Linked DNA regions of Caenorhabditis elegans. The protein of the gene in region 1 purifies or fractionates together with the protein of each later gene. This does not show direct contact. Each region holds a gene or a part of one and is shown on either strand. Other genes may lie near its edges.

The links.
Region 2: the proteins of C17A2.7 (region 1) and T03F6.4 fractionate together in Caenorhabditis elegans (co-fractionation; one large-scale study listed by BioGRID). This does not show direct contact.

Annotation. Positions count from the first base shown.
Region 1 is NC_003280.10:3,841,177-3,845,239, reverse strand, and holds C17A2.7 (Methyltransferase FkbM domain-containing protein), read left to right. Parts: upstream 1-1,834; coding exon 1,835-2,023; intron 2,024-2,263; coding exon 2,264-2,383; intron 2,384-2,435; coding exon 2,436-2,504; intron 2,505-2,548; coding exon 2,549-2,693; intron 2,694-2,739; coding exon 2,740-2,810; intron 2,811-2,859; coding exon 2,860-2,976; intron 2,977-3,025; coding exon 3,026-3,111; intron 3,112-3,247; coding exon 3,248-3,326; downstream 3,327-4,063. Other genes in the region: C17A2.3 (N-acetylgalactosaminide beta-1,3-galactosyltransferase), read right to left, coding at 1-163, 218-647, 1,359-1,421, 1,468-1,631; C17A2.4 (L-Fucosyltransferase), read right to left, coding at 3,968-4,063.
Region 2 is NC_003281.10:13,384,230-13,389,116, reverse strand, and holds T03F6.4 (F-box domain-containing protein), read right to left. Parts: upstream 2,968-4,887; 5' UTR 2,919-2,967; coding exon 2,868-2,918; intron 2,826-2,867; coding exon 2,725-2,825; intron 2,414-2,724; coding exon 2,295-2,413; intron 2,249-2,294; coding exon 2,094-2,248; intron 2,047-2,093; coding exon 1,907-2,046; intron 1,863-1,906; coding exon 1,627-1,862; intron 1,557-1,626; coding exon 1,438-1,556; intron 1,397-1,437; coding exon 1,296-1,396; intron 1,044-1,295; coding exon 947-1,043; intron 890-946; coding exon 842-889; 3' UTR 758-841; downstream 1-757.

The DNA.
Region 1 (4,063 bases):
CCGAAGGTGTGATTCCAACTGATTCTAGGCATCTTCCCATTCCTCGATCCTCTCCTCTATCGTAAGGACATAGCCTTACGTTGTGGTAGAGTTGTTCCACAAACATTCGCATTGCTGCGTTCGACAAAATGTACCCGGAGCCTCCAGAATTGTAGCCATTGTTCTGGAATGAAAACAACTTTTCAGTTAATTCTGTCCTTTCCTGCAATCAACCTACCATGAAAGGTGCTAATCGATATCCCAAGTATAAAGGTTCTGCTGGATTCAAAGTGTTTAGATACTCCCTTAAATGATCCATTGCCACAAATGTATCATCATCTGTCTTCAGGTACCAATCAAAATGTTTTGAAATGCTGGTATATGAGTAATACAAACTGAATATTGATTTTCGGAACAAATCATCATAGGTATCCCTTAGATTTCGGTAAACTGTAGAATATGCAATGTCAGGGTAAGGAAGATGAGTTTTTGTAAAGAATCGTCCGTGATCACACCTTGGAAGCCACGTGGAGGCAACTGATGGGACACGGTCTTTGTAATATTTTGTAGAAGTTTCAACGAAGCAAAATATCTGGCCGGATGTTGGAAGTGTGAACGTGGCAGGGGAATGTTCGATTCCTTGGATTAGGATTTGAACATCTCGAGTTCTGAAAACATTTTATTAGAAAAAGTACTGTAGGAGTACTGTAGTTTTGGAAACAATGTCTCTTGAGCTTTTGAAAAGTTATATGGGGCTGGTGTGGGACAGTATCGAGATGCTGTAGTGGAGCTGTAGTGTACTGTAATAGTTCTGTAGTTTTGGCAAAACTAGAAGTTTACGGTCAGAGCTTGCCGGGAATAGTACCGAGATACTGTAGAGGAGCTATAGGATTACTGTAATAATACTGTACGCAGTCAACCACTTCGGCTCATCCTCTAGAGTGGTGCAACGCACATTGACAACTCAAATTGTGTCTCTGAATTTGAAAATTTTGAAATTCTAAATGGTGTCGAAGTAATGTAGGGGTACTGTCGGATTACTGAACACAAGTATTATTCAAATGCTGTTAGACAGAATACCGTTTAAACTTTTGAAAAAAAATTATTGCAATTGACATTTATTTCCGATAAATTTAGATTTTATACTGAAAATCAAAGAATTTATTTTACTAGATATCAAAGTTATATCGAACACAAGAAACTCTCCGGACATTTTTTAAAAACTAACGAGATTTTTTATTTCTCAGTACAAAATATAAAAAAATTCGTTGGAATAAAAATTGCCAAAAACAACTCCCTGTAATTTTATTAACATTAGATAAACTAAAAAATACCCCAATAGGATTTTTACTATGATTTGACAGAGGCGAACAACTCACGGAAAGAAGAACTCCTTATATGGTAGAATAGCTGGAGAATATGCATATAACTCTGCTGGTATTCTAAAAAAAATTATTACTGGAATTAGAAAAATTTTTCAAAGCTTACTGAAACTTTCTCCGCTCTGGGAAAGAGATGTAATTGATCAGTGCCACCACAAAAACTGCCAGTAACGCAATCCGATCGATGCGGTCAAAACCGTGTCTTTTTGATAAGAGTTGCTGGGAGAAAATAAAACATCGAGTTTTAAACTTTTGAAGAACTATGTCCATTGTTGAATGCCAGGTGCCGAATTTTAGAAACTTTAATGGCAAATGTTTCGCAGAATTTCTTTGAGTGCTTATCTGGCGATCCTCATCGCCATCCAGATTGAAATCAAAGAAAGAAAAGATTATCTCGTTCCTGAATTTTTGAGGCTGAAGTGTAGCAGATTTGCTATTTAAGTCATTTCCATTTTCATTTAAATTTCACAAAAATGCGGCAAAGCTCAGCTTTAGTTTTTTTCTCGACTATTTTTCTATTTTTTCTGTGTTATATACGGACGCAGTCGAGATTTCAATTCAGTTCCAAAAATCCTGGAATTAAGACAATGGAGGAAAACTATGACGCTTGGCACAGTTGTTTTATGAATAATATTTCACACTTTGAAGGTTATCCAGACGAGGTAAGTAGCTAAAGCTTAGGCTTAGGCTTAGGCTTAGACTTGTCCCTACCTCAACTTCATAGGGATATCCTTTGGTCTGAAATGAAATATTTAACATTGTTTGGTCTTTTTTATAGAATGAAACTGTTCCAAAGTTTGCGACTCAATTTCACAAGATAAGATAACAGTTGTATTAGGTTTTCACGGTACATTTTTCACATTTAAAGCAAAATACTAATTTCAAAGACAATGATTTTTTAGCTTTGGGACAACATGTTCAACGGGATCCGAAGATGCGAATATATCAAAGAAATGAAATATTTACCAATTCTGGATTTTCTGAATTCTGACGAGGCGAAAAGACATATACTTCCAAAAATGGTATTTAAAATTTTAATTTGTGGAGAAAAATTTGACAACCTTTTTTGCTCAGAACCAACCTAGTACCATAGTCACTCTGGGCATCGGACATGATACCGGAGCAGAGGAGAAGCTTCTTCAGGTTTTGTTGTTCTAGCCATTTAATTTAACGAATCCAGTTTTCAGCAACTACCAGAAGGATCCGAGTTCTTTGGGGCCGATCCCATGCACGAAATCAACGAAAATTTATACACAAGTATCCCAGGAAAATACTTTCCATTTGCAGTCGGAGCAGCTCCTGGACTTGCGGAAGCTAATGTGCTAATTGATAGTAAGTTGATCAGCATATTTTCATTGAATCATTGAACCATTTTCAGCTTCATACACTACAAAAACAGTTGTCAATGTGGATATTATATATTTTCTGACAAAATTGATCAATAGAACTGTAAATTACTTTAGGAAAAACTGAAAACTTGAATACACTGAAATTTCAGGTAATCGATGATCTGTGGATGGACGCAGAAGGCGCTGAATATGGAATGTTTGAGTTTTTCTATAATGGTGGAGAATTTGATAAAAATAACATTAAATTTTGCCAAATCAATATTGAGGTTTGTGATTTAAATGGAAATTAATAAATTCAAAAAAAATCCTTTCCAGATTCATGTTCCCGACACCCACCAGAAAAAACTGATTCACGACTTTATTTTTCAGCTGATGAAAGATCGAAGATATGCTATTTTTAGGTAATTCCTTTTTTTGCTCTATGATTTTATGTCAGGCAAGCCCGTCCTTCTTCCAGCTTGTAAAAATCAAATTTTCAAGGCAGGCTCGTGAAATCTCGACGTGTCTTGTATCCCAGAAACATGTTATAATTTTCAGACCAGTAAAAGGAAAGCACATGCGTCTTTATCTGCTCAATTTCAAGGATGATAACTGTGCCCATAACTATATTCTCTAGGATTTTCTATGTGAATGTTTTGTTATTTTTTAATATTTAAATAAACAGTGTTAGAACCAAACTACAGAAAGCTACAGTACCCCTACAGTAATCTTTCACCCAACACAATACAATAACCTGGAAATAAATTATTTATGATTGACAACAACACACCCAAAACAAGTTTAACAATTTTCAGCAAACTCTGAAAAAACAGTGAAAAAAATTGGTGAGATTTTAAGAAAAAAATCATGTTGTCAAAAGTGTAAATTATCCCAAAATGAATATTTCAGAAGGCTACAGCAATTTTACAGTACTCATGGACTACCCAGTACAAAATCAGAACATTTCGGTACAAACTAAACCGGCAAAGTTCTTTTTTAACGTCACCAAAAACGTTTTCAGGTATTTTTATTAAAGCCATCATGATTTCCATTCCTAGATTTTTCTTGATTCAACCCTCAAAAAATTGAGAAAAATATTTTTTCACAAAAAATGTCAGCTTGTCAAAAATTTATTCAAAACCACCAAAAATAAAGTTAACAGTATAAATAAGGGACCCGCAAAATGTCCGGCGCTCATAAAATTATTGCAAACTCTCGACGATTGTCATGACATCCGACGCGGAAAACTTCAACGGAACCCAGTGAGACGGGTAGAAATCATTCTCGTTTATTCGTCCGCAGTCCTGGAATAGATAGTCTGAGACTTTGTACCAAAAATGGTCCAAAATTACATAATTGTGCAAAGAAAGTTTT
Region 2 (4,887 bases), on another chromosome or scaffold:
AAATGACAGCCTCGTTCTTGATAAATATGTTTCGAAATTTCGAAAGTGAGACAAAACTGACAATTTTCGCGGCATTTAACCTATTTTTGGCGCCGGAAAAACTGCTGAACCGGAACTGTAGAAAAGTCAAAATGTTCACTTTGACATCAACTTTCGAAATTCTATTCATTGCAAATCGAAAAAAATTCTTAAACTCCAGAAATCGTTCCAAAAATCGTAATAAACGAAAACTGGCCAGAATGTGCAGTTTTAAAGAGCAGTCAATGCTTATCTTATCGAACAATTTGTTGATAATTGACCGAATTTTCGCAAACAACAATATCTTATCGAAAGTGGGGGAAACATGAGACCTAATAAAATGTTTATATTTATGTATTTCAATGAATCTGAGTGAGGAATCAAAATCAAACTATTACCCGGATGCGAAGTTTGCAAAATTGAACACGAAAGTACGGTTCCCGGTCTCGACACGACAAAATTTTGCTCACTATAATAAGGTGCGCGCCGTTAAAGAGTACTGTAATTTCAAACTCCCTGTTATCTTATTTTGTAGAATTTCTGGGTCTTTATGCAACTTTTTGATAACATTTATGGGTTCAAAGACTGAGAGCCTGGAAGCTCAAAAAAAACCAATTTACCTTTAACATTTTTAATGTGTTTTATTTGTTCTGAAATTTAACATTATTTTTCTCGATTCAAGACTGATGCTTAATCACTAAAAAAAATTCATTAAAGAGAAAAATTAAAACATTAAATATGATTAACCCGTTTATATACAAAATTTAAAAATACAGAATCACTGAGCAAAATATTGATTTTCACCGAAAAATTGATGGTTCGTCTAACACGAATTTATGTAACCGGTACGAATGATCCACTGGGTTGCTGTCTGAAAATTCGAATTTATTGATTTTTTTTTATAATTCAAATCAAAAAGAAAACTCACTCCGTTTGCGTAGCATGCCAATTCCAAAACGATGCCCATCGAGGTTCGATGGCTTGTTTGAAATCGACAGTAGGGGACAGGTATGGCGAAGTTTGGCCTGAAACATATTTTATTAATTTTTCACCAATTGCTAGATGAATGCAAACGCGCTTCATCGATGATTTCTAATCAAAAAATTCAGAGCCGGAATGGCTTTTCAGATAGCAGCCAAACTAGATTTCCTAAAAGTATTATAAGCGAGCCCTATCCCTCCCCGTTTGATCTACAAAATTGCTGGAAATTCAGACGCGTGTGACGCAATTTTCGAAGTGGAGAAGCCAATGCACCATGTCTCAAACTTGAAACTCACGGTAAAGTTTTATAGACTGCAATTCGAAATTCATCGATTGTAACTGTAGAGTTGAATGAGATTCCTTTGATAATCCATGGTTTGGGGGAATAGTGCCATTTCTGAAGAAGTTTGAATTTCAAGTTAATAATTTGTGAAGTACCTCGATAAAAAAGCACATGTCAACTGCATCGATGGCACTGACAATTTGAGAAACTTCCGTGTAAGCGGAGAAATCAAGACGGTAAACTGCAGATGATGATAAAATTTTTAGAAGTGATCCTGAAAAATTATACCCTTTTTTGATCAGTTCTGTATGCCAGAAGTATTTTAGTAATTTTTTGAAACCTACCATTTACTGGTGCCATTGTCATTTGATCAATATCCATCCGATGCCTGGGATCTAATCGGAATTGCAAACTCGCCAGATTCTTAGTGGGAAGTTTCAGAAAACTTGAGAATGGATCGAAGGTTGTCATATTTTCCAAAATCAAGTTTTGAAGACCTTGAAGTTCTGATAGCTTTATCAGTGACTTTGGTGCAAGTTGCCAAGGGAACAGGATGGTTTTTGAGCAGAGGAGCAGAGATCTAAAGTATTATTGTAAAAATAGTAAGGAAAATGTGCAACTTACTTGATTTCTACTCGACCGCAAACTTTATCAAAAAACGTTAAACAGTCAGCAAAAAAGTTATCCTCAATTCTTTGAGACTCTGGTTTGCATTGCTTCCGAACTTGAAATCTGATTGCTTGCAAATTCATGTAGGCCAGGAGCTGAATAAAATTTTTACGGAGTAAAGATAATTTTTAAGAAAACTTACCGTTCTTGTAGTAATTGGAGAAACTGAAACATCATGTCTTGTTCCAACTCTTTCAAATTGAGCTTGCATTGTTGAATCGCTGAAATGGGAAACATGAAGCTCCTTGTATCGAACATCATTTCCGCGGAGGCACAGACGCCGTTTTTGTGTAAACTCTGAAATATGGTAAGTTTTTAGATGATCTTCTAGTAGTTTACAAACCAGGTCCTCGTGTATCAAATAGTGTGAAACTGTATGTGATAATCGGGTCAGTTCCATCTTCGCGGTATTTTGATAGAGGTCTGTTGTCTACGATGTTGACGTGGCAGTGAGCTTCAAATCTGGAAAATATGGGAATTACAAATATTGATAAAAATTGAGAAATTTCTGAACATGTCAAAAATATATTGGAATGAATCTAGGTAGGCATGTAGGCAAGTAGGCAAGTATGCAAGTATGTAGATAGATATGCATGTAAGGGATAGATAAATACTTATGTTAGGTAGACAGGTGCGTAGGCATGTGGCCAGGTACGTAGCCTTGTAGGTAGATGGGCAGGCATGCAGGTATAGATAGGTTTGTAGGTAGACATAATTTTTGGCATGTAGGCAGGCTTGTGGGTATAGGTAGGCAAACAGTTTTATTAACCCACAGTCTGATAGTTTTCAAATTCTTTTGCACCAATCCTCGAAACCGATTATTTACATGAGCAACACCAAAGAATATATCATGACGTGGCAAGTTACGGATAACCTAAAAAATGAATGGTTTTCTGTTGGGCTTAATGGTACAAACCTTCAACAAGACTTCATTTGGAAGATTGAGCAATGTTGGCTCTTCTCTCATTTTCACGTCATTTGGCAGTTTGAAAAAGAAATCGTGGGTCTGGCTGATTCTGAAAATAAAGTGAAGTTAATTTCAGGAAAAATGACATGCATTTTCAATTTGATTTTGCCAATTTTAAAGAAGATTGAAAAATTGGAACTGGACGGAGGAAATAAAATGAGATAAACAAGAAAAAATGGTGAATATTAAAGTGTTTGGGTGGTTGGTCTATGAATAGAAAAAGAAAAAGAAAAAAGAAAGGCATCGAATTTCAATGAGCTCATGCAGTTTTTTCTTTGTTTTTTTTATTTTTGTTATGTTGTTTTTCCAACGCAAGAAAAACAATTAATTTAATTTAGGGATGATCATGATTGCAATAAACTTTTTAGTTTCATAACTAGGTAGAAGAGAGTAGCCTAGGCAGTCATGTGGGCAACCACGTAGGTATAGGTAGGCATTTAGGTAGGCAAGAATTCAGGTAAATAGGCAAGCAGGTAACCACGTCGGTACAGGCAGGCACGTAAGTCGGCAAACATGTAGGCAGGTATGTATGTTTTTTTTTTCAAGTTTCTAGGTTATTGCATATTCATTTATACCGCAGTATTTAAATCTAATTTACTTCTATTATTCAAAATCTTGGTTTTATATGCGATTTTCGATAATTTTCGAAATTTGAAAACAATTTTAAACCTAGACAAAGCTGGACAAGTTAAGATAGACCATCTTTGAAAATTTCAAAGTTAGAAAAAAACCCAAAATAAAACGCAAACCAAAAGCATATTCTTCAGAAAAAAGCATATAGAAAAATAACTAATCCTCTCTTCAATTGCATAACATGTTGTTTGTCACAAAACCTCAAACTGAACTGAAAAAAAAACGAATAAAAAGAAAAAACAACTGACTGAACAACAAAAGATGTAGCGGAAAATTTAGAGACGCAGAGAAAATATTCTGGGGTTTTTGGAAATTCAATTTTCAATTGGGGAGGAATAATGGCTTTTAAGCAGGCCAACTATGCAGTACCTACAGGCCTACAGGGCAGGTAGACAGGGAGGCAGGAGGCAGAAAACACTGTCATGGAAACTTTGTACATGAAGAATGAATGAATGCATCAAAATTTTGAGACGTAGTGAACATCTTTTGGACTCTTAGAAATTAAATTTAAGACTCCGGAGAAACTTTAGTGAGTACAAACTCGTAAGCCTGTTCACTCCTGCTATATGAAAATGGCAGGTAGGTAGGCAGGCATAGGCAAGCCAGTAGGCATAAGAAACTCTCAAAAAAAAATTTTAATTGAGTAACGAATGACAATATCAAAATAAATTTCAGTTTATAAACATTCGTGGAATGAATCATACTTGTTTTAGTCATTTGAATATGTATTTTTTCTTTTTTTAAGAGGCAAAAACATAAGGTTCGCGAAAGATTAATCACGATATTTGAAAATTTTAGTTCCAAAATCATTTTTAAATTTCTTAAATTTGAAAAATCTGAACGAGAAATCTCAAATCTCAAAAATCGAGACAAATAAGTATCAGTGTAATACTAATACTAACAAAAAACACTTGGAGAAAATCGGAGAAATCGGAGAAATCACAGAATAAAATAATAAAAAACGACTGAAACAGATGGGAAGAGACTTCAGAGAATCTTTACTACAAAATGTTACACTCTTGCTTGCGGTCAAGAAAAGTGAGAGAGAGAGGGGAAATGGAAAGGCCTTGCCAATGCTTTAAAATGGAAATGAACGAATGAAAAAAGAAGAGGGTTGAAAATTTTCTTTTGTTTGTTGTTAGTTTCCGTTTTATTGGTTCGCAATTAGATTAAGCAATTAGAAATTGAAATTTGTTGGGAATTTCTCGTTTTCATTTGTTGGTTTTAACCATGTCAGCGCTTACCTGCCTCGCGCCTGCACTTATTTTCAATTTCCAACTAAACTTTGAGATGAAAAATGTTTTCAGTCAGAATATAATCAAAGGTAGGCATAGGT